Linked DNA regions of Macaca mulatta. The protein of the gene in region 1 binds, or shares a complex with, the protein of each later gene. Links are inferred from orthologs where the notes say so. Each region holds a gene or a part of one and is shown in the gene's direction. Other genes may lie near its edges.

Region 1 (7,201 bases):
TAGGCTGAGGAGCAGGAGGGGTTGGTTTTGCTGTCTTAGGGGTTGCAAAGGCAGAAGAAAGTCTGAGTATTAGTGGTCGCATGCAGTTCAAACCTGTGTTGTTCAAGAGTCGACTGTGTATTTTTCAGAACAGTGTCTGGCCCAATGAATGTTTGCTGAACGCATAAAGAAAACATAATTTGTGTACTACATCCAACTGGGCAGTTGAGTACTACGTCCAACAGGCCAGGCATGGTGGCATGCACCTATAGTCCCAGACACTCAGGAGGCTGAGCCGGGAGGATCATTTGAACCCTGGAGATGCAGTAGTATACTCTTATATTTCTGCTCATCCTTTTAATCCACATCCCCTCTCAGCTTTATGGGGCTTAATATAGTTATTAGTCAACTGTCAACTGAAGTCATTTTGCTCTTTGAAATTAAAGAATAAACACAAAATTTAAAAAGCACAACCCCATATCCCACGGTCTGTGGAAAGTTCAGCAGCCACCTCAAGATCTTTGTGACTTATCTAGGAATTTTATGCCCTCTGGTCACTTGTGGATTTACAACCTGATGTTTTGAGCTCAACTTGGGTCTTATATCCACCACAATCTTCTCTGCTCTTGCAAATCCAGACAGAAAACTTAGATTTTTGTCCCTACCCTTCTACCCAAAATATCCAACTGCAACAAACACGCTGTTCACACAAGGCACCACTCACTGAAGGCTTGATGTAGTTCAGCCTCCCTCCCACTCAAAGATCCTTCCCAGTTACCTACTTTGTACTTTCCTGGCCCCCTCCCTGGGTTCTGGCTTCTCTTTTTCTCCCCTCAATTCAATCCCCCTCACTTTACTATGCAGGGCAATCTCTCTTTCCTTCTACTCTGCCCCAAGCTTAACTTTGCATAGCCAAAAACTGATTAATGTCTGGATTAAACAAAGGGCCATTTATGCAAGATAGAATCATTGGCAGAGGTTTTGTAATTTCTTTCTCTTTTCCGCAGTAGGTGGAAGAAAGCTGTATGGAAATTCATTTTCCTTAAACTGCAAGAAGTGGCTACAGTTTGGGTTTAAATAATCTTTTCCTGGCTAGGTGAGGTGGCTCACGCCTGTAATCCCAGCACTTTGGGAGGCAGAGGCGGGAGGATCACAAGGTCAGCAGATGGAGACCATCCTGGCTAACACGGTGAAACTCCATCTCTACTAAAAATACAAAAAAAATAGCTGGGCGTGGTGGCGGGCGCCTGTAGTCCCAGCTACTGGGAAGGCTGAGGCAGAAGAATGGTGAACCCGGGAGGCGGAGCTTGCAGTGAGCCGAGATCGTGCCACTGCACCCCAGCCTGGGGGACACAGTAAGACTTCGTCTAAAAAAAAAAAAAAAAACTTTTCCTTCCTCCTTTCTGGTAAATATACACTTTCTTGACATCTATTTCTGATAAACTTTATTTCTTTAACACAGTGTTCTCAAACTTTTGGTCTCAACTCTTTTGCACACTTAAAAATTATTAAGGGCTCTAAACAATTTTTGTTTATATTGACATTATCGACATTCACTATATGAGAAATTAAAAACTTTTGATGTTTTTGAAAATCTTTTTTTTGAAGTCTGGCTTAATAGAAAACAGCTGTTCTGCATTTATTCCGTTGCAATATCACAGTCTAGCAAACTCAACTGTATGCAACTCATGAGAAAGTGAGAGTGAAAAGGCAAATAACATCTTAGTATTATGAAAATACTTTTATATTGACCATTAAAACCACTATTTTAATACACATTCTACTTGTGCATCCTCTTTATGGAAAAAAAAATCTTGAAGAAATCAATGAGATTTTGAATATCCTTAGGCCAGCCATGGTGGCAAGTGCCTACAGTTCCAGCTACTCAGGAGGCGGAGCCGCGGAGGATCGTTTGTGCCCTGGCGTTCCAGTCTGTAATGAGCTAGGATGGCGCCTCTGAATAGCCACTGCAATCCAGCCTGGGCAACATAGCAGACCCCCATCTCAAAAAACAACACAAAACAGAACCATGAACCAAAAATGCAGAAGAAACTCATTGACTGACTTGTCAATTTTAATAGCTATGGCTCAAGACGGTACAATTAAAAACTATGCATGAAGGAAGAACAGAATCCAGCGACATTAGGGCCACTCTTTCACCTTTGCCTCCATCTAAAGTTCCTATTCATCCTTCAAATCTCTGCACAGGTGACGCCTTTTCTCTACAGCCTCTTCCATCACCACAAATACGAGTGATTATAATAATATTATTAACGATTACTACCATTTATTGGCCACTTACTAGGAGCCAAGCAACATCAAAACACAGCACGCGTCAGCTCACTTAATTTTCACAGTAAACTCCGAGGAGGATGCTGGCTTCACTTTACAAAGAGGTGACTGAAGGGTGGAGAAGAAAGACCTCTGGCCTCTAGCTCTATGCCTTGCACATCTGCTCTGTCTCAGCACTTATTGCACCCCGAGGGTCACCGTCCAAGTGCCTCTGTCCTGCTCAAGGTGAGTCCTTGCAGTCAAAGGTCAAGGGTGGCTCGCCTCCACGTCCCCCGCAACCAAACCGCCCGCTCTCAGTGAGGGAGCCACCAGAAGGGAAGGAGCCTCCCAGCTTCCCGGTCCTCACGCTCCCGGAGCCCACACGCCCCAAAAAAGCACAGGAGAGCTCGCTGAGCTCTCCGCGCTGCTAAACCCTCCAAGCTTTGCCGGGAGAAAGAGGTGCCCGTGAGCTCGTCGCGGGGTTCCTCCTCCGCCAGGTGCGCCGCTGAGTTCGGAATCTTTTTCCTCCCGCCGCGGTAGCGGGGCTCAGGCCGGAACCTTTCTTCTCGCATCGCAGTTGCCGGTGGGGAGGAGTGCGGGGCAGGACCAGTCCTCCAGCGGCCGGGTTCTCGCCGCGGTCGCCGGCTGCTTACGTGAGCCGGCCCAGTGTGGGGCTGCGGGTACGGGTCGCTATGGCCGTGGACATCACGCTGCTATTCCGGGCCAGCGTCAAGACCGTGAAGACGCGGAACAAGGCGCTGGGAGTGGCGGTGGGCGGCGGGGTCGATGGAAGCCGGGATGAGCTGTTCCGCCGGAGCCCCCGGCCCAAGGGCGACTTCTCCAGCCGGGCCCGCGAAGTGGTGAGCTGGTTGCTATGGAAACGGCGGGTTGAGGAGGGGGCAGTCCTGCGACAGGGACCCCGAGCCCCAAACCACACCCCGTCCCATAAGCATTGTGTGAAGGAGGTGGCCCCAAGGGGGACAGGAGAGTTGGCCTCAGAGACCGGACAGCTTTTTGGGGAAGGAACAGCCTTATTTTAAGGAAGGGGGACGCATATTGGGGAACAGATTTCTCCTGCGGCGGCGGGGGTTGGGGGACGAGGAAGGAGACCCTCAGAAATCTCTATCTGGAAAGTGCACGGGCGGCTTTGTGAGGTCATGAGTTCGCCGTCACTACAGACTTGCACTCAGGGGAAACCTCACTGTCCTTCACTTCCTGTTGCAGAACTGACCACACCGTATTTGCCTGTGCTCTTTACTTGTCTGCCTCCCATCCCCAGATGAGATTAAAAACCATATTCATCCGAACTCTTTCTTCTCTTTGTCTCCGCGATAAGTAGGGCTCAGTTCCTCTTGAGACGAGTTTAGGGTCATCTTTCGCAAACACGGTGTTACAGTCATCTCAACTACTTTCTGTTCCCTGATCAGAGCAGGTGTCCCTTCATTTCTCTGGGAACAGGAACCTTTTCCTTAAGGGCAGGGACAGTTGTTTTCATCTCACAATGCATGACTCATAGCATTGCTTAGTAAATGTTTGTTGAATGAATGAATGAACAAAATGGCTGTCTTTCCCGTTAAACAGAAAATTCCATGAGGGGAGAGATGTTTGTCTTGTTCCCTTTTGTGTCCGTGACACCAAGGAGGGATCTAGGTTTTGTGGGGCCGAAAGTTTTTATAGTTATGTCTGCCGTCTTTAAGAAATAAAAATCACCAAGAGAGATTCAGAGCTTTGGAAGATGGAAGTGAGGGACCCCGAAGCTAAAACCTCATTAATTTCACAGTAAATCCTACTCTGCTTGGCATACACTTGGCACTGCATAGACACTCAGATGTTTTCGAATGAATGTATGCATGCATGCATTAATGACAGTTAGCAGAGGATACTTAAACATCAGAAAGGGGTTGGACCAGATGAATACACTCTCCCTATTGATGAACATCTATGAAGCACCTACTTTCTGACCAGCCTCATGTTAGAGTAATATGATGTAAAAGGAGTAGTGGAGTAGACGGACATAGACATAAAACAAGTGCCATAAAGCCTTGCAAGTGTTATGTAGGGCACAAAGAAGAATGTGGTCAGTTCTACCTGAGGATCAGAAAAGGCTTTATAGAGGTGATGATGCCCAAAACAAATCTTGAAAGAGGATTAGTTGGCTGCAGTGCAGAAGGGCATCTCAGGCTAAAAGAATAGTATGCGCTAAGATGTGGAGGTGTGTAAGAGTCTGATATAAGTTGGTTCAATAAACATTTGAGTGAGACTGGTATGTGGGACTCTCATAAAAATTGGACCGGGAGAGATCTTAAAGGGCTTTGTATATCACTGCGGAGTTTGAATTTTGCCCTCTAGGCCGTCAGATGTTATATGGTAGAGAAAGTACCAGAGAAGGAGCCAGGAGACCAGGTTGTTGTCTGAACCCTGCAACTGTTAGCTATATGATTTCATTAAGCAAGTGTCAAGACCTCAGTTTATTTACCTGTAAATGGTCTTTTTTTTTCTCCTCCTCCTTTTAAAAAACTACCCTGGTCCTCTATATATAACAAATTAAAGTGGAAGCTTCCTAGGCTGAAATGAGAGGAAGAGAAACAGGACACTCTCCCTCCCAGTTTGGCCTAAGCACTTCCTGGGGTTCCTTTTGTAGAACCGTGGTATGAATATCACAGTATTGGCGTTGTAAGGGTCCCTTCTGACTCTGAAACCACTGATTTATGAACACTGTGCTAATTTTGAGTCCTGCTCAGGGAAAGGGGGGATTTGGGAATGGTCGAGACAAGAGGCACAGTTGAGTTGGCAAGCCCTTTGGATAGCCCTGTGATCACTTCCACCGCTCCCTGAGTGGTGAAAATGTGTTTTAGACTTTTGAGTTAATGGGCCTCAGGGACAGTAACAGTCCTGTAGGGTGCTGAGTTCCCTGTCACTGGAAGTAATTAAACAGAGTGATGACTGCTTTTCAGAGATGTTTGAGAAGAACTTTGTGCATATGTCATAGGTTTGGACCGCGTGACAGTGAAACTTCCAATTCTGCTATGTATTGATGTGAGTAGGTGTCACATTACCTTAAGTGAGTACATGGGCTGTGTTGTTCAGGGACACTGTCCCCCTGACGTAGAGGAAACATACATTCTTGTAAGCAATTTTGATTTTGTGTTGTCATTGCTTTGCGTATTATCTCCTGTTCTTCCAACCATTCCCCACTCCCCATCTTCTTTTGTGGGAATTTTAACTAGAAGAGCTAGTGATGGATGTCCTGTGCTTTCACTATGATTAGATGTGTCAAAAGTTTGCCTGTTATTTTGTTTGGCCTGGATTCCTTATACAGAAAAGTCTGGTCAATACCAGAAGCACATATTCTAATTCAGGTTTAGCCCTGGTTGTCAGACTTAATGAAATGTAGTAAGTTATAGTATGCCTTTTGGTAAGTGCCTTCCTTGAAGCATTTGCTGTTACTTCTAGGATGCGTTTTAATCTGGTTCAATTTCTGTTCTTCCATTCCATTCCTCTAATACATGCCTGATGCCAGATTTCCATCTCACTGAATTGTTGTAAAGGTTATATTAAGTTTCATAAAATTGCATTGAAACTAAATCTTCCTTCCCTACCTCCCACCAATAGACTGATTTCTTCTGCATCATTCTTTTAAACATTTAACTTTTATGTTCAATTTTGCTAAATTTATATGTACTCAAATGCATGTCTACCCATTAAATTACAAATGGAGAGTAATGACTTTTCAGATTATCTGGGGGAGGAACTTATATTATTCGAACAACTCCAAATAATAATGAATATGTCACTCTGCAATGGGAATTTGATTAGTTAACTCATTTGAAGTGTGGGACTAATGAGGACGGTGGGATTGGAAAGAGACCTGGGCCTTGGGTTCAAATCTGGCTTCTCTTACTTAGAAATGGGTGAACTTGGGCAAGTCTGACTCTCATTTTCCATTTCTATAAAATGGACATGATAATACCCTACCTAACTCACAAGCTAAGTAGGGTAGCTTGTGAGTTACCCTACTCACGTAGTCTATATGTATATATTTTAAGAAACCAGAGTAATTATTATTGTTCCCCTCAAATACCTCCCCCCTCCTCATGTAGGCCATTTAGACATATTTTCTTTAGTGGCACCAAGCTATATTTTCCAAACCACTTAGTTTTCTTGCACTTTCATTCCTTGCTTATAAAGGGGAGCCAAGTTAAATGCATGAGGAATGAGTGAAAATCCTGGGTAGGTACTGATGAATCAGTGATGGTGCAGAAGTACTGTCTGCATTTGTAAAAGACGGTAGCATTTCTTTGCCAAGGTGAAACTCTTTCAGTGATGGCAGATGTGTGGCAGGTAGGCAGCTGTTACTTTCTTTTCTTCCTTGTGATCATGGAAGTCAATGCTCATAACTTCGTGGATCCCTAGAGCTCAGAATTCTTTGCAACATTGTCCCCCAGGAGCCATTACCTGTTATTAGGCTTGCCATTCAAGTTGAAATCTACTTGGCATATGGTAACAGTAGAATCTGTATGCTTAAAGCAGACCCATGTTGGTTTGTTTGTGTGTATGGTTTTTTTTTTCACTCAAAAGGACCTCGAGTTCATTTTGTCAATAGATAAGAAAACTAACATCTAAGTAAATGAAATTACTTGCCCTAAGTCATAGCAGTTGAGGTCATAGGACAGAGCCAGAACTAGAAGCCAGGTCCTTTGACCTGGTTTAATGCTGCTGTCCCCGTGTCCCCTACATCCTCCTATAATTTTTAAACCAGAATTTCTTTGGCTTCTGAATGGCAGTGAGTTTCTTCTTCTTGAGTTAATTCTGAATACTGAATACTGAATGGAACGTGGGGCAGGAGGACTTGGATTTGAATGTGTCTTATCTGCTATATGAACTTGGGGAAGCCACTTAATTCAGTTTCCTTATGTCTAAAATAGAGTGAGTAATGGCAACCTTATAAAGT
Region 2 (7,046 bases), on another chromosome or scaffold:
CTCCTGACCTCGTGATCCGCCCATCTCGGCCTCCCAAAGTGCTGGGATTACAGGCTTGAGCCACTGTGCCTGGCTGGAGACTCTTTATCAAAAGTAATGCCAGAGGAAGTCTGAGGAATTAGTAGTGTTCCCATCACTTGTTTAGAGTGTGCTATTCTAAAAGATTTTGATTTCCTGGAATGACAATTATATTTTAACTTTGGTGGGGGAAAGAATTATAGGACCACAGTCTTCACTTCTGATATTTGTAAATTAATATTTTATTGAACTTGTTTTGACCATTAAGCTATATGTTTAGAAATGGTCATTTTATGGAAAAATTAGAAAAATTCTAATAGTGCAGAATAAATTAATGTTTTACTTAATTTATATTGAACTGTCAATGACAAATAAAAATGTTTTGATTATTTTTTGTTTTCATTTACCAGAATAAAAACTAAGAATTAAAAGTTTAATTACAGTCAAAAGAAGAAAACACTGTTCATTATTATGGTTATGCAATGATTTCTCATTCTAAAGAATAATTTGTCCCAGAGTCTAGCTACAGTGCAATCTCAATCCACATGCTATTAATTTAGGTTGTGTGATAATCTGATTATTCATTCACCATTTCCTACTTAACATTTTTTGACACTCTTCACAGATACTTTTCCCACATTTCTTGATCATCCCGGGCCATTCTTTTTTCTTTTCTTTTTTATTAGAGACAGGGTCTTGCTTTGTTGCCCAGGCTGGCGTCAAACTCTGAGCTCAAACAGTCGTCCCACCTCGGCCTCCCAAAGTGCTGGGGTACAGGTGTGAGCCATGGCGCCCGGCCCCAGGCTATTAATCTTTTTTTTGCACCTGCCCCTTATTTCTGTACTGTGACAAGTCCCAGCATTGTGTTGTGGGACTTACACAGTATACTGACAGTTACCTCAGACTTGGTCACGTCTGTGCTCAGTGCATATTAAGAGCTCAACCAAAGTGTGCTGAATCAACAGCCAATGAACTTGATCTAACAAAAATGAGGGCCCAGGAGATATAAATTAGCAAAGCATTTTCTCCTGAGCATTCATACATCTTTTAATATTTGTAGGCAGTTTAAAATTGAGCTCCCAAGCAAACATTTGAGAACAGACACCTTGAGCAAACCGTGAAATCGGTGAAAATAAGAATTTATTTTAATTTTTTTGAGATAGGATCTTGCTTTGTCACCCAGGCTGGAGTGCAGTGGCATGATCTCAGCTCACTGCAACCACTACCTCCCGGGTTCAGGTGATTCTCCTGCCTTAGCCTCCCGAGTAGCTGGGATTACAGGCGCCCACCACCACGCTCGGCTAATTTTTGTGATTTTAGCAGAGATGGGGGTTTCACCGTGTTGGCTAGGCTGGTCTCGAACTCCTGACTTCAAGTAATCCGCCCGCGTCGGCCTCCCAAAGTGCTGGGATGATGCTTGAGCCACCATGCCCGACCTGAAGACCGGCATTTATACCCATGGAGTGCAGGAAAGGACCTTGTAATTGTTAACAAGTGACACTTAGTGGCAGATGAGACCTAATGAAGCCAGGCCCACCTTCCACACCAGATTATAAATTCCCTCGGAGCAGAGAGTAAATGTTTTATTCACCAACATGCCCAGATCCCTCGCAATGCCTACGCTTGACAAACACCTGTTGTGAACAAGTGCACGAGGCAGCCTAGCAGCTAGAGTATTTCGAGGTCATCCTAACTGGGTTCCACTTTTGAATTTTTGTTTTTTGGGTTTGTTTGGAGACAAGGTCACCCTCCACTTGGGAGCAAAGTCTCCCAAGCTGGAGTGCAGTGGTGGGAACTCTGCAATCTCAACCTTGTGGACTCAAGTAATCCTCCTGCTTCAGCCTCCGGGGTAGCTGGGGCCAGAAGTGCGCGCCACCTTGCCCGGCTCCTATTTTGGGTTTCCGGTAGTGCTCTCGCTATTGTGACCAGGCTGGTCTCGAACTACTGGGTTCAAGCAATCCTCCCACCTCGGCCTCCCAAAGTACTGGGATTACAGACGCGAGCCACTCGCCCGGCCAAGTTCCACTTCTGAAAGCTTGGGGAGCAGCTGGGCCTTCCAGGAAAAGTGCTCCACCTCCCGACTGCAGGCAGAGCCCCCGGCCCGGCTCTTTCCAGGGCCTAAAGCTAACATTCGGTCAAGACGCGAAATGAGGAATTCGGGTCAGGGTGGCAAAGCAAAGCGCGATGACAGTGAGGACGACGTCTAGACGCAAACACACATCAAATCGGGCCGAAGCCCGCTGTCGCCTGGCGGGCTAAACCTGGCACCCCGGGCAACGCGCGACTCCGGCACCAGACGCTCTCCGAGTCAAACTACATCCCCCGGCGTGCACTGCAGCGCCCGCCCCTGGCCGGCCGGCGGGGCCTGGGAGGAAGGCGGCCGAGCTGCCCGTCCCGCAGGTCCCCTAGGGCCCTTTCTCTGCGGCCTTTCCCCACCCCGGACCGGGCACTTCTCGGGCTCTGCGACTACCATTCGCCCCGCTCGCTCCCTCAGGAGTCGCCTAGGCCGCGCAGTCTGCCGCCTTCCCGTCAGGCCTTCGCGCCGGCGCTCCCGCAATCACGGGCTAGAGAGGGTGGGCGTTCCGGCTCGGGAGGACCCTTCTGCGGCCCCGGAAGAGCCTCGTCCTGGGCAGCGGTGGTGCGGCGGTCGCCGTTATGGCCACGGGACTGGGCGGCTGACCGCCGGGCTAGGAGAGGGCCCAGAGCCCCGAATCTGGGTGGCCGCTGCTCGAGCGCGTCCTGCGCCATGGCCGCCTCCGCCGCCTCCTCGGAGCATTTCGAGAAGCTGCACGAGATCTTCCGCGGCCTCCATGAAGACCTACAAGGGGTGCCCGAGCGGCTGCTGGGGACTGCTGGGACCGGTGAGGCGCGGGTGGGCCACGCCGTGGGGAGCGCGGCCCCGCGCGCTTTGGAATTTTCCCCCACCTTCCTCCCAGACCCGGGCCCGCGTCTCCTTCCTCCGCGTCCTCAGACACGCCCCCTAGGGCTGGCTGGGTCGCAACCCCGGGTCTCCCTGCCACTGAGAGTGAATTGGGGACGCGCCCAGGGACGCGGGGTTCAGTTCCCTGGGTTCCTTCTATGGCCTTCCACATTTTCTCGTTTTTTTCCACTGCGGCAAACAGAGCAGAGGGGCTTTTACATCTGCGGTCCTGTAATGTAGCGTGGGTTTCTTTCGTAGCTGTTTTTGTTTGTTTTATGCATTTAGAAGCACTAGTGTCAAGACAGGTCTAGTTTTCACCAGACTGACAGAGGATCTGTAGCACAGAAAAAGGGTTAAAAACCCAAAAGAGTCATAATTTGGGGCGTTGGTATATACCTGTTATTGGAGGGTAGAGAGCTGGCCTTTAAAACCGTATGGTGGCGTTTAGATGTGGTCTTGTTTTGAACGTTTTTACTGCTGAGACTATTTACTACCCCTTCATTTCATGGTTCAGGTTGCTACAAGTTTTGTCTGGAGGAGCTAGAGTTTTCTGGCCCTAGATCCATAGGAAGACCTGCTATATATAGTTCTTGGCCTCCGGATATATAGAACTTGATGGCAAGGACAAAACTTTGTTTTATTGCTTTTATTTAAGGATCAGAGCTTGAGTGTTTGCTCAACGAATTACTCAAGGTCATAGGAATTGAATGACTCTGGTGAGAATGAAATGCATGTATTTAATATATATTTATTGTGAGGCTGCTGTGTGCCAGGCACTGTTCTAGGTGCTGGTGAATATTGCAAATTACAGTGAAAAAGACATGCACGTCCCCATTCTAGTGGGTAGGTGATAAACAATATATAACTATTAAGCGGCAGTGTTAAAGAATACAGGAAAATAAATCAGAGTAAAGGAATAGGGGATGGGACTTCAGTTTTATTTTATTATTATTATTATTATTATTATTTTTGAGACAGAGTCTTACTCTGTCATCCAGTCTGGAGTGCAGTGGTACGATCTCGGCTCACTGCAGCCTCCACTTCCCAGATTGAAGCAATTCTCCTGCCTCAGCCTCTGGAGTAACTGGGATTACAGTTGCGCCACCACCCCTGGCTAATTTTTTTTGTATTTTTAGTAGAGACGGGGTTTCACCATGTTGGCCAGGTTGGTCTCTAACTCCTGACCTCAAGCGATCCGCTTTCCTCGGGACTTCAGTTTTAAATAGGGCGGTTGTGAAAGTCCTCTGTGAGGAGATGGCATTTGAACTGAGACTTGAATGAAGAGAGGGAGTAAACCAGAAATCTGGGAGAAGTGAGTGTCAGAAGGAGGGAATAGCACTGCAAATGCCCTTAAGCGGAAATGAGCTTGGTGTGTTCAACGAAGAGCAGGAAGTTCCATGTGTTTGGGATGAAGTGAGCAAAGGAGAGAGGTAGGCAGGGCCAGATCATGTAGGGCCTTGTGGACCATGGTGAAAGACTTGTGCCTTTTTCTAAATATGATGGGATGCAGTTAAAATATATTGTGCAGAACCATTGTGGGATCTGATTTATGTGATTGAAAAGTTGACTGCAGGCAGGGCACGGTGACTCACACCTGTAATTCCAGTGCTTGGGGAAGCAGAGGCGGGCAGATCACTTGAGGTCAGGAGTTCAAGACCAGCCTGGCCAACATAGTGAAACCCTATCTCTACTAAAAATACAAAAATTAGCCAGGCATGGTGTCAGTTGCCTGTAGTCCCAGCTACTCAGGAAGCTGAGGCAGGAGAATTGCTTGAACCCAGGAGGCAGAGGTTGCAGTGAGCCGAGATCCTGCCGCTGCACTCTAGTCTGGGCAACAGAGCAAGACTCTGTCTCAGAAAAAAAAAAAAAAAGGAAAAGAAAAGACTGCAGGCTAGGCGTGGTGGCTCACACCTGTAATCCCAGCACTTGGGGAAGCTGAGTTAGGAGTATTGCTGTATTGAATGATTTTGAGAACAGCCTGGGCAACGTGGTGAAACGCCATCTCTACAAAAAATACAAAAATTAGCCAGGCATTGTGGTGCGTGCCTGTAGTCCCAGCTCCTGGGGAGGCTGAAGTGGGAGGATCACTTGCGCCCTGGAGCTGGAGGTTGCAGTGAGCCAAGATCGCACCACTGCACTCTAACCTGGATGACAGAGCAAGACTCTGTCTAAAAAAAAAAAAAGTAGACTGCATTTTCAACCTGGCACTGAGTTAATTTTTGCATTGCCCATTTCTATAAGGCTAAATAATGCAAAAGAACATTGCTTGAAAAATAGAAAATTGAATTCATTATTACTATGGTTTGAATGTCCCCTCTAAAACTTATGTTGAAATTTATTTGCCATTTTAATCGTGTTAAGAGGTGGGACCCATAAGAAATGATTAGACCATGAGGGCTCCATCCTCAGGGATTGGATTGTTATCCTGAGAGTGGGTTGGTTGCTGAGAGAGTGGGTTAGTTCAGCCCTCTCCTGCTTGCCTGCTCTCTTGATCTGTTGCTCTTCCACCTTCTGCCATAGGGTGACACATGGGTAGCAAGAAGGCCCTTGAAAGAATCAGGCCCCTCAGCCTTGGGCTTCCCAGCCTCCGGAACTCTGAGAAATACATTTCTTTTCTTTATAAATTACCCAGACTCAGCTATTCTGTTATAGCAACATAAAGCTAAGATAGTTACATTCACGTTTGTTGTCTCCCCAGCCTTTTTCTCCATCCTGCAAAGAGGACAGTCGGAAATATGTGATTTTTTTTTCTTTTTTTTGAGACAGAGTCTTGCTCTGTCACCCAGGCGGTGATACAATCTCAGCTCACTGCAACCTCCACCTCCTGGGTTCAAGCGATTGTCATGCCTCAGCCTCCCAAGTAGCTGGGATTACAGGCGCATGCTGCCACACCCAGCTAATTTTTGTATTTTTAGTAGGCATGGGGTTTCACCATGTTGGCCAGGCTGGTCTCAAACGCCTGACCTCAAGTGATCCACCCGCTTCGGCCTCCCAAAGTGCTGAGATTACAGGCGTGAGCCACTGTGCTCAGCAGAAATAGGTGAATTTCTACCCAACCACAAAATATTCTAAGTTGCTGGCAACAGACATAGTTGTAAATAAAGTATATACATATCCCTAGAATTGTAATAAGAAGTCCAGCAACTTTACCTCTTATTCACTGCCTCGTTCACACTGCTCAATAAATATTTGTTGAATAAATTGAATTTATCTAAGCAAACACATGATGCCTCATCTCTGAATCCGTCTTTTTCTAGTTCAGAGACCACATCATAAAGTTTTCAGCACTTTAATGCCCATCATGAATTATTAGGCACAGCATAATGTACATAATACAGCCCTTGCATGTAGCTTATGCTGTGTAATTGAATTATTTTTCAATAAACACTGAGAATTATTATGTATCAGCCACTGTCTGGGTCCTGAAGACTTCCAGAGTACTTACCTTAAAAAGAAACAAACGGCCGGGCACAGTGGCTCATGCCTGTAATCCCATCACTTTGGGAGGCCTAGGCGGGCGCATCACAAGGTCAAGAGATAGAGACCATCCTGGTAAACATGGTGGAACCTTGTCTCTACTCAAAATACAAAAATTAGCTAGGTGTGGTGACATGCGCCTGTAGTCCCAGCTACTCAGGAGGCTGAGGCAGGAGAATTAACTGAACCCAGGAGGTGGAGATTACAGCCAACAGAGCGAGACTCCATCTCAAAAAAAAAAAGTAAACAAACTTACAACAAAGTGTGTGATTAATTCTAAAATAAAGTTCTCAGAGACCATAAAAAAGGCTGGACTTGAGCATGGGGAAGAGAGGGGAAGCTTCAAAAAACTTCAAACTGAATATAACGGGTTAAATGGGAGTTTGCTAAACAGGGGAAATGCAAAGAGGCAACACAGGAGTTAAAAAATGGAATACCCCCAACTCTGGAGCTTAGAATGTATATGGGAAAGTAGTAGTAGATGGGGCAGGTGAAACAGCCAGATTGTGAGGGGATCTTAGTGTGACATTGAGACGTTTGGACTTGATATGGAAAGTCAGTAAAGGACTTAAAGCAGTTGATTGATGTGGATTTTCTTTTAGAAGGAGGGCATTAATGGCTAGACAGAGGA
Region 3 (7,282 bases), on another chromosome or scaffold:
GAAGTCACACTCTGTCTCAGCCCCACTCACAGCCTCATGGTGGAGGATCTCTTACAGTCTCCCCGGAGAGCACACAGCCCCCTGCCAGGCAGCAAGAGCCAGAAGGGGCCTCTACTTCCCTCAGAATCCTCCCCTAAGGTCCCAGCCCAGAACTGGCATCTCCTTGGCCTTGTCCCAACACGCTGGGAGGTCCTGTTCTCTCCATGTCTGACACCCAGAAACCTGAAGGTACCCAGTGGGAAGCAGGTCCAGGAAATGTTGGAGCTGAGTTGAGACCCATCCATGGGTTGAGGTCAGGGCTCACCTCGTCCACCTCCCCCTTGATGGAGTCGAGGGTGATGTTGAAGAGCACTTTGAGGATCTCCATGGCCCGCTCAGTCTCTTGGGAAGGAAGGAGCTTGGGTGGGTTCCCTTCAGGAGTCACCCCCAGCGTCAGCTCCAGTGTGTCAGTCAGCAGATGCACTCCTTTCAGCTCCTGAAACAGCTGCTGGCGCACATCGGTGCGGAGTGCCGTTAGCAGGAAGAGGAGCCTCAAGTCAAAGAACTGGACATCGTGGGGGAAGCTCCTCTCCCGGTACAGCCCCACACGCTCTGTGAGCTTCACCACTAGGCGGGCCTCTGCTGCCAGCATCTGTGCCACAGGGCTGCTGAGCACGAGGTTGCACAGGCACTTGAGGGACTCCAGTACAACATCCATGTCGGGGGAGTCTGGGACGGACCCCTCAGAGCCAGAGATGTCAGCATAGCAGGCCAGTGCCTGCAGGCTCTGGCGGCTGGTAAACGGGTCCAAGCAGTTGCGGTCCCGGGACAGGATTCGGACACTCTGCAGCCAGGTGACACGGTGGGAGGGTGGCAAGCCCTGTTCCAGGACGGAGACCAGCAGCTCCGCCAGTCTCTGTGGGCAGGGAGACGAGCGGCTCCACCAGGCCCCTCTTCCTGGGGCCACCCGTCCCTGTCCCTTTACCCCTCGGGCCAGCACCCACCTTCCGGTCCTCCTGTTGAGCATCATCAAACGTGAAGCTCTGGGAGTGCTGCAGAGAGAACGAGTGAATTCAAGTCCACAGAGGGGCAGTATCCGCGCCCGCTGACGGGGGGCGGCCTATTGGCCTCTAACTCAGGCAGCAGCCACTGCTCAGAAGGGGTGGCAGGGTCTACACTCGCCCCCATCCCTACACACCTGCCACCCAACGGGTGCACCCCAGACACTCTCCCCCCAACACTGCATCCCTGACGTGCCACCCCCACCCCGCCGCGTCCCCTCTGCTTGCTGACACAACCCCTGCCTCACCCACACCGTCCCGACCACCCGCGCACGACCCTGCCCCACCCCCTCCGTGCCCGCCCCCCGGCCTCAGGCGGCCGCTCACCTCCTGGTTGTATGACCGCAGAGCTTCCATAATCACATCCTCCTTCCCCGTCTCCACGGCTTCTGCAACCGCCCGGGGCTCCATGGCGCCCCCGGAACCCGGCGCGGGGAAGGCGGGACGGGCCCTTCCTCAACCTTTCCGGGCCGCAGTTCGCCGGCCCCGCCCTGGCCCAGAAAGCCCCGCGCCAGCGCGCGGGGGAGGCCGGGACGGGACGCGGCGTCTGGTGGCGCTTCAAGGGGGCGCGGCCTGAGGCAGCACTGGCGGCTCGGAAGACCCGAGTCGGGCCGAGTCGCCCTGAACCGGACTGATCCCCCTCCTTGTGACCGGGGCTTCTTGGGCCGGAATTTCCAACAGGAAAGGATCTCAGCCCCCACCGCGCCCTGCCACACACACAGTGACGCCCCTCGAGCTCCACAGAACCGATGGGATGTAGACGGGAAAGCCGAAGTGGAAAGGACTTTTCAGTCCCGGGCCATTGGGTTCGTTAGGCGTTTGCTGGGGAATGCAGGCGAACGGGACTCCCAGGCCCCTGCCTTTGTGGAGCTTATGTTCCAGAGGGGAAGGCAGACAAGGAAAAACAAAAGGACATGAGGCGGTCACAGGGCTGTGCTTCAAAAGAAGCAAAAGGTGACTGCTGGGCTGCAAGGGCTGTGAGGAAGTGGTGTTTTTGCTAACACTGGACGATGGGAAGCGAGCTGGGAAAAGACTGGAGGAGCCACTCCAGGCAGAAGGAGCAGCACTTGCAAAGGTGGAAGGGCCGTGAGGGGCCGAGAGAAAGGGGAGCAACGCAGTCTGGCCTGGACTCAGTTCCCTCTTGACAAGCAAAGATCCTGCGTGTCCGTTTCAGTGGCCATCAGGAGGATTCAGTGACGCACAGGAAGCGCGGTCCACTGGCTCTTGTAACAAGTGCCCGGGAGCAAAGGCGTCTACGGCCCCCACTCCCCGTGCCGCCTCCCAGTCTCTTTCCCTGCTTCACTTTCCTGTAGCGCTTTCCGCACACCTGTATTCGACGCGGCGCGCACTCGCAGGCACTAGCGAGGCGCCGATCTCCACTTGACAGAGGAGGCACCCTTGCCCCCTCCACACCCAGGGCTCCTCGCGGGCTTCTGCCCGAGGGGCCTACTCCTCCCTCATGACCCGCCTGTGAATCCTTCCTAACCGTTAGGACCTAACGCATGGCAGCGTCTTTCCACCACCATCGTCTTGGCACTGAGCAAGCAAACGGCCCCGCCCCGCCCCACGTTCACAGGAACAACAAACAAACGTCACATCCGCGGTGCTGCTGTAATCCCAGCACCTTGGGAGCCCGGCAGGCGGGGGCTGCAGTGAGCTGAGATCGCGCCACTGCCTGGGCGACAGTGCTGAAAATAAGTCACAGCGACGCCCATCGCTTCCGCGACCCCGCGGTTCCCCACCCTCGGGCCTAAGCCGGAAATCAGCGAGCCCGACGCGGAAGCGGCTGGGCCATCTAGGGGCGTGGTTGGCGCGGAGGCGGGGCCATCGCTGGCGGGGGGCGGGGCCGGAAGCCCGTTCCCCGTGACTGCGCCACGTCTGAGGCGGCTGTGGCCGCGTCGGTGTTGGCGTCGAGGAGCCGGGGCAGGGCACGATGGCGGACTGGGCTCGGGGTGAGCGCGGGAGAGCGGAGCCGTTGGGGGCAGGGCCGGGCCGGAACCGACGCCGCTGCCTGTAGAGCCGCGTGCGCCTGCCTCTGGCCTCGGCGGGGAGGACCCTGTCAGGGGGGCGGATTCGGATCCTTCCGGGTCCCAGCAGGGCCGGGTTTCGGCCAGCACTGCCGCTAGGAAGGACGGCGGGCGGGGCGGCCCAGCAGCTCCAGCGAGGGGTCGCGCAGCTGCGGGGTCCCCCCACTCCCCGCCGCTCCCTGTGAGATCGTTTTGCATGGGTTCAGGGTGAGCGGGAGTCTCGGCATTCGACAGGTCCCGAGGCCAGGCCTTCGGAGTAGGCTGTGCTCCGCTGGTGTCCAGGCAGGCCTCTGCTAACTAACTTGGGCCTCGGTGGCCCCATTTCCCCTCCTGGAGCCCGTGTTCTTCTCTGCAAAGTGGGATATTGATGCCTGTCTGAGTTATGATGAGTAAAGGAATTAATGAACAGGAAGTGGTTGGAAGGACGCTGGCATCCCTTCCTTAACGTTGAAGCTAGGGAGAAGGTGGTTCTCACCCACCTGAGGTGACAGAAATTCCTTATCACCTGGCCCAGCCTGTCACAGGCCGGGCCTCTGCAAGCGCTGTGCTCTGGGTGTTGCAGGAAGCCCTGTGTGGGATGCAGACCAGGGATCACGCTCCTGGTCGACCTCAGCTCCCATCTCGCGGAATTGGGAACTTTGCTCAGCTGTTTTCTGTGCGGTAAAGGGCCTTCCCAATGTTCTGTCCTGGTTCCTTGCCACCTCTTCAGGACCCAGCTCAAAGGTCGTCCCTGCAGGAGCCTTTCTGCTGCCCTGCTGGGTACTTTTCCCAAGTCTTTCCTATGCTCTTAGCAGAGTTTACTCTTTTTCTATAAGAATGGGCTCCACATACACAGATGGCGACCTCCCTGGATGCAAGTGTCACATCTTATTAACATCCCAGAGCTGGGCCCAGTTTTTGCTACACAGTCTCAGAAGGTGCTGGTTGGACTGAACCCACTGTGGGTGCTGGCCCATCCCCACCTGGATGTGTACACAGGACACGTGTTCACATGACAGGCCCTTGCACACATCGTCCTTTATGCAGTCTCTCTCACATGTGCAAGATTCACCTGCTGGAACCTAGGTTAGGTCCCCTAGATTTCTGACTCACCCAGTTGTGGTTGGAGTGAGAGGGGTCAGAGGCCTCGCTCCCCGATGGATGCAATCACTCAGCCCCTCTCTTTTCTCAGCTCAGAGCCCGGGCGCTGTGGAAGAGATTCTAGACCGGGAGAACAAGCGAATGGCCGACAGCCTGGCCTCCAAAGTCACCAGGCTCAAATCGGTCAGTGGTGGTCTGTCCTCTTACCTCCACCTGGTGCCCTTGGGGAATGGGGATCAGAGGGAAGGTAGAGGGCCCAGAGGAGTTTCAGGCAGTTTGCCGTCCTCCTCGTTCGATTCGTGGCTGTGCTCACCTGCATGAGGCCCCAGCTGACACCTGGACCTTCCTGCTGCTGCCCCACTGTGTCTGGCAGAGTTGTTGGCAGGGTTTGTCTGGTCTGGGAAGGGTGAGTGCTGTATTATGTGTCTGCTCTGGCCCAACCCTGCCCTCTCTGTGTGCTGAACAGCTCGCCCTGGACATCGATAGGGATGCAGAGGATCAGAACCGGTACCTGGATGGCATGGTAAGGGCCCACGGTGTGCGCGAATCAGTGCCCTGCCCCCAGCACTACCTGCTACAGAGCTTGCAGTGTCTCCTTCAGCACTGGTGCGGGTGGGTGGTCAAATCACCACTTCTGTGTGATCTTGCCGGGATTCTTCCCTTAGGACTCGGATTTCACAAGCATGACCGGCCTGCTTACAGGGAGTGTGAAGCGCTTTTCCGCAATGGCAAGGTCCGGACGAGACAACCGGAAGCTTCTATGTGGCATGGCTGTGGGTCTGATTGTGGCCTTCTTCATCCTCTCCTACTTCTTGTCGAGGGCAAGGACGTGAGACAGTGGGAGCTGGTGTCTGTGGGTGCCAAGGGCAGCCATTGTCTTCCCTGCCTGGCATCTTGGGCTCCAGAGGACTTACCTGCAAAGTACTCCTTTGAAATTATAATCGTGGGCCAGGAATCCTTTCTGTGTGGCAGGAGGCTGCGGCTGCCTGTGACCTGATGAGCTCATGTTGGCTGGTCCCATGTGTGGAAGGGACTCTTTCGGGGAAACCAAGGCCCAGCCCCTCCCCCCTTCCCCAGATGCTAGAGACACAAGCAGAGCTGGGGCCGCAGCGTGTCTGGAGGAGCCAGGTCTGAGCAGAGCAACTGTTGAATCCCAGGCGTGGCCACCTGTGGCCTGCAGCCTTTCTCCCAGCTCTTGGGACGCTGACATCTGAAGGCTCCACGGTCGTGTCCTTGTCTGGATGAGGCCATGTCTGTGATCCAAGGTTCCTGGAACTGACACAGGAAGGGGCTGTGAACCCTAAGTGGGTGCTATCTCCTCCAACTGAGGCTTCTCAGCCTGGAGATGGCAGTTACTCCTGGCCATGGTTGCTGAGCACAGGAGACCAGTGCGGGCCACCCTGCTGTGAGTTCTCTGTGCCTACTCTCCAGTCCTGCGGATGAAGTGAGACCCCTGGGGAGAACGGGTTGTGGATGAAGGAGTGGACTGCAGCCTTGGCCTAGCCACTGGGTGGGATCCTTCTGGGTCCTGTGACTGTGTATCCAGGAGCAGAAACTTGTATTCTCAGGATTCAGAATCTACCCAGCACCAGAGATGTGTTTTCAGAAGAACAGACCTAGAAATGGGCCTCTCTGGCATTTCAGAGTCAGGCAAAGCAGGCAGGGCCGGGGAGCCATTGTGGGTCTACACAAGAAGGTTCCTGAGAGGCTATCAGTTGTTGCCATCTAGCTTGCTGGTAACTCTGGCGCCTCTGCCAAGCCCTGCCAGACTCCTCTGGCTGTGATGGCGTTCTGTGCCATCCTCCTTGTCCCCAGCCTCTGCAGGATACCCTCCCTACCCACCTCTCCCTGGGCCTTCCCTGTCCACTGGGCTGGGCTCATGTTCAAACAACTAGACTGGCAGGGCAACGGCTTTTCCCCACCCCAAGATGAGGTCCTTGCCCCCTTGGCCTAAAAACACCTTTAAAGCTCTGTGCCCTTCTCTGTGCTGTTCCAATCTTCTGCCTCCCAGTCATTCCCTGGGGACTATGGGATCACTGTCCCGCAACCTGTGTGGCCACACTGTGTGTCCTGTCAATCCAGAACTGCCTCTGAGCTCCAGGCTGACCACAGATGAGCCACAGCCTGGTACCTGCAGCCCCACTTTGCTCACCCTTCCCCTCCCCTCCTTCTTCCTTCCACACAGCAAGCCCACCTTTCTCCATGCACGCTCACCATAGCCCCCTTCCTTGTTACCTGAGCCCTCCTTTGTACCTGGCTGAGGCTGTCAGCCTCCTGGAGGAGTGGGGTCCACCGTCTTCCCCTATGCAGTGCGAGCTCACTTCTCACCCAGCAAGGTGGACTCACTTGCCTCCATGTCTCTGGGGCTTTGCTGTTGCCCTGAAACCTAGCTGGGCTGGTGCTTCCCCCTTCTCGGATGTCCCTTTGCAGGCGCCTGTCGTTCCTCAGGCACCAGTGTGCTTGTCTGCCACGGCGAGCTCGTCAGGGGCTTGTACCCTGGTCTCCAAGCATGGTAGCAGCTGCCTGCGTTGGGTCTCCATCTGGTCACTGCAGGTGCCAACCCTTTATCTCCCATATTTTCCTGGGCCATGGAGGGCTGACCTCCATTTTGGGGAATGTGGTTGAGCTGTGGTAACCAGCTATACCCCAGGTGCCCTTCCCATGGTGGTACCCGCCCACCTTGCTGATGTGAACTAGGAAGTTAGGCTGCATCTCGGACTGGCCTTCGCTGGAGAGGTGCTTTGCTGTCTCGGAGTCTCAGTCACTGTGTTCCCTCCCCACCTGTCTCCATGGCTGTTAGCAGCCCTCCCAGGTAATTTGGGGTCTAGGCTGGACTTCCTTTGTGGTTTGCTTTTCTGCTTCTCACTCTTGTTGTATTTTTTTTTTTTTTTTTTTGAGACGGAGTCTCGCTCTGCCACCCAGGCTGGAGTGCAGTGGCTGGATCTCAGCTCACTGCAAGCTCCGCCTCCCGGGTTCACGCCATTCTCCTGCCTCAGCCTCCCGAGTAGCTGGGACTACAGGCGCCCACCACCTCGCCCGGCTAGTTTTTTGTATTTTTTAGTAGAGACAGGGTTTCACCGTGTCAGCCAGGATGGTCTCGATCTCCTGACCTCGTGATCCGCCTGTCTCGGCCTC

What was found.
Region 2: STX18 (region 1) and VTI1B share a complex: the UniProt entries of both Homo sapiens proteins name them as parts of the SNARE complex. The link is inferred for Macaca mulatta from reciprocal best matches to the Homo sapiens genes STX18 and VTI1B.
Region 3: STX18 (region 1) and BET1L share a complex: the UniProt entries of both Homo sapiens proteins name them as parts of the SNARE complex. The link is inferred for Macaca mulatta from reciprocal best matches to the Homo sapiens genes STX18 and BET1L.

Annotation. Positions count from the first base shown.
Region 1 is NC_133410.1:8,444,001-8,451,201, forward strand, and holds the start of STX18 (syntaxin-18), read left to right. Parts: upstream 1-2,924; 5' UTR 2,925-2,942; coding exon 2,943-3,110; intron 3,111-7,201. UniProt on the Homo sapiens protein: Syntaxin that may be involved in targeting and fusion of Golgi-derived retrograde transport vesicles with the ER.
Region 2 is NC_133412.1:140,847,301-140,854,346, reverse strand, and holds the start of VTI1B (vesicle transport through interaction with t-SNAREs homolog 1B), read left to right. Parts: upstream 1-2,652; 5' UTR 2,653-2,764; coding exon 2,765-2,879; intron 2,880-7,046. UniProt on the Homo sapiens protein: V-SNARE that mediates vesicle transport pathways through interactions with t-SNAREs on the target membrane. These interactions are proposed to mediate aspects of the specificity of vesicle trafficking and to promote fusion of the lipid bilayers.
Region 3 is NC_133419.1:79,666-86,947, reverse strand, and holds BET1L (BET1-like protein), read left to right. Parts: upstream 1-2,888; 5' UTR 2,889-2,973; coding exon 2,974-2,992; intron 2,993-4,238; coding exon 4,239-4,330; intron 4,331-4,613; coding exon 4,614-4,670; intron 4,671-4,812; coding exon 4,813-4,980; 3' UTR 4,981-5,605; downstream 5,606-7,282. Other genes in the region: RIC8A (chaperone Ric-8A), read right to left, coding at 305-895, 984-1,031, 1,368-1,451. UniProt on the Homo sapiens protein: Vesicle SNARE required for targeting and fusion of retrograde transport vesicles with the Golgi complex. Required for the integrity of the Golgi complex.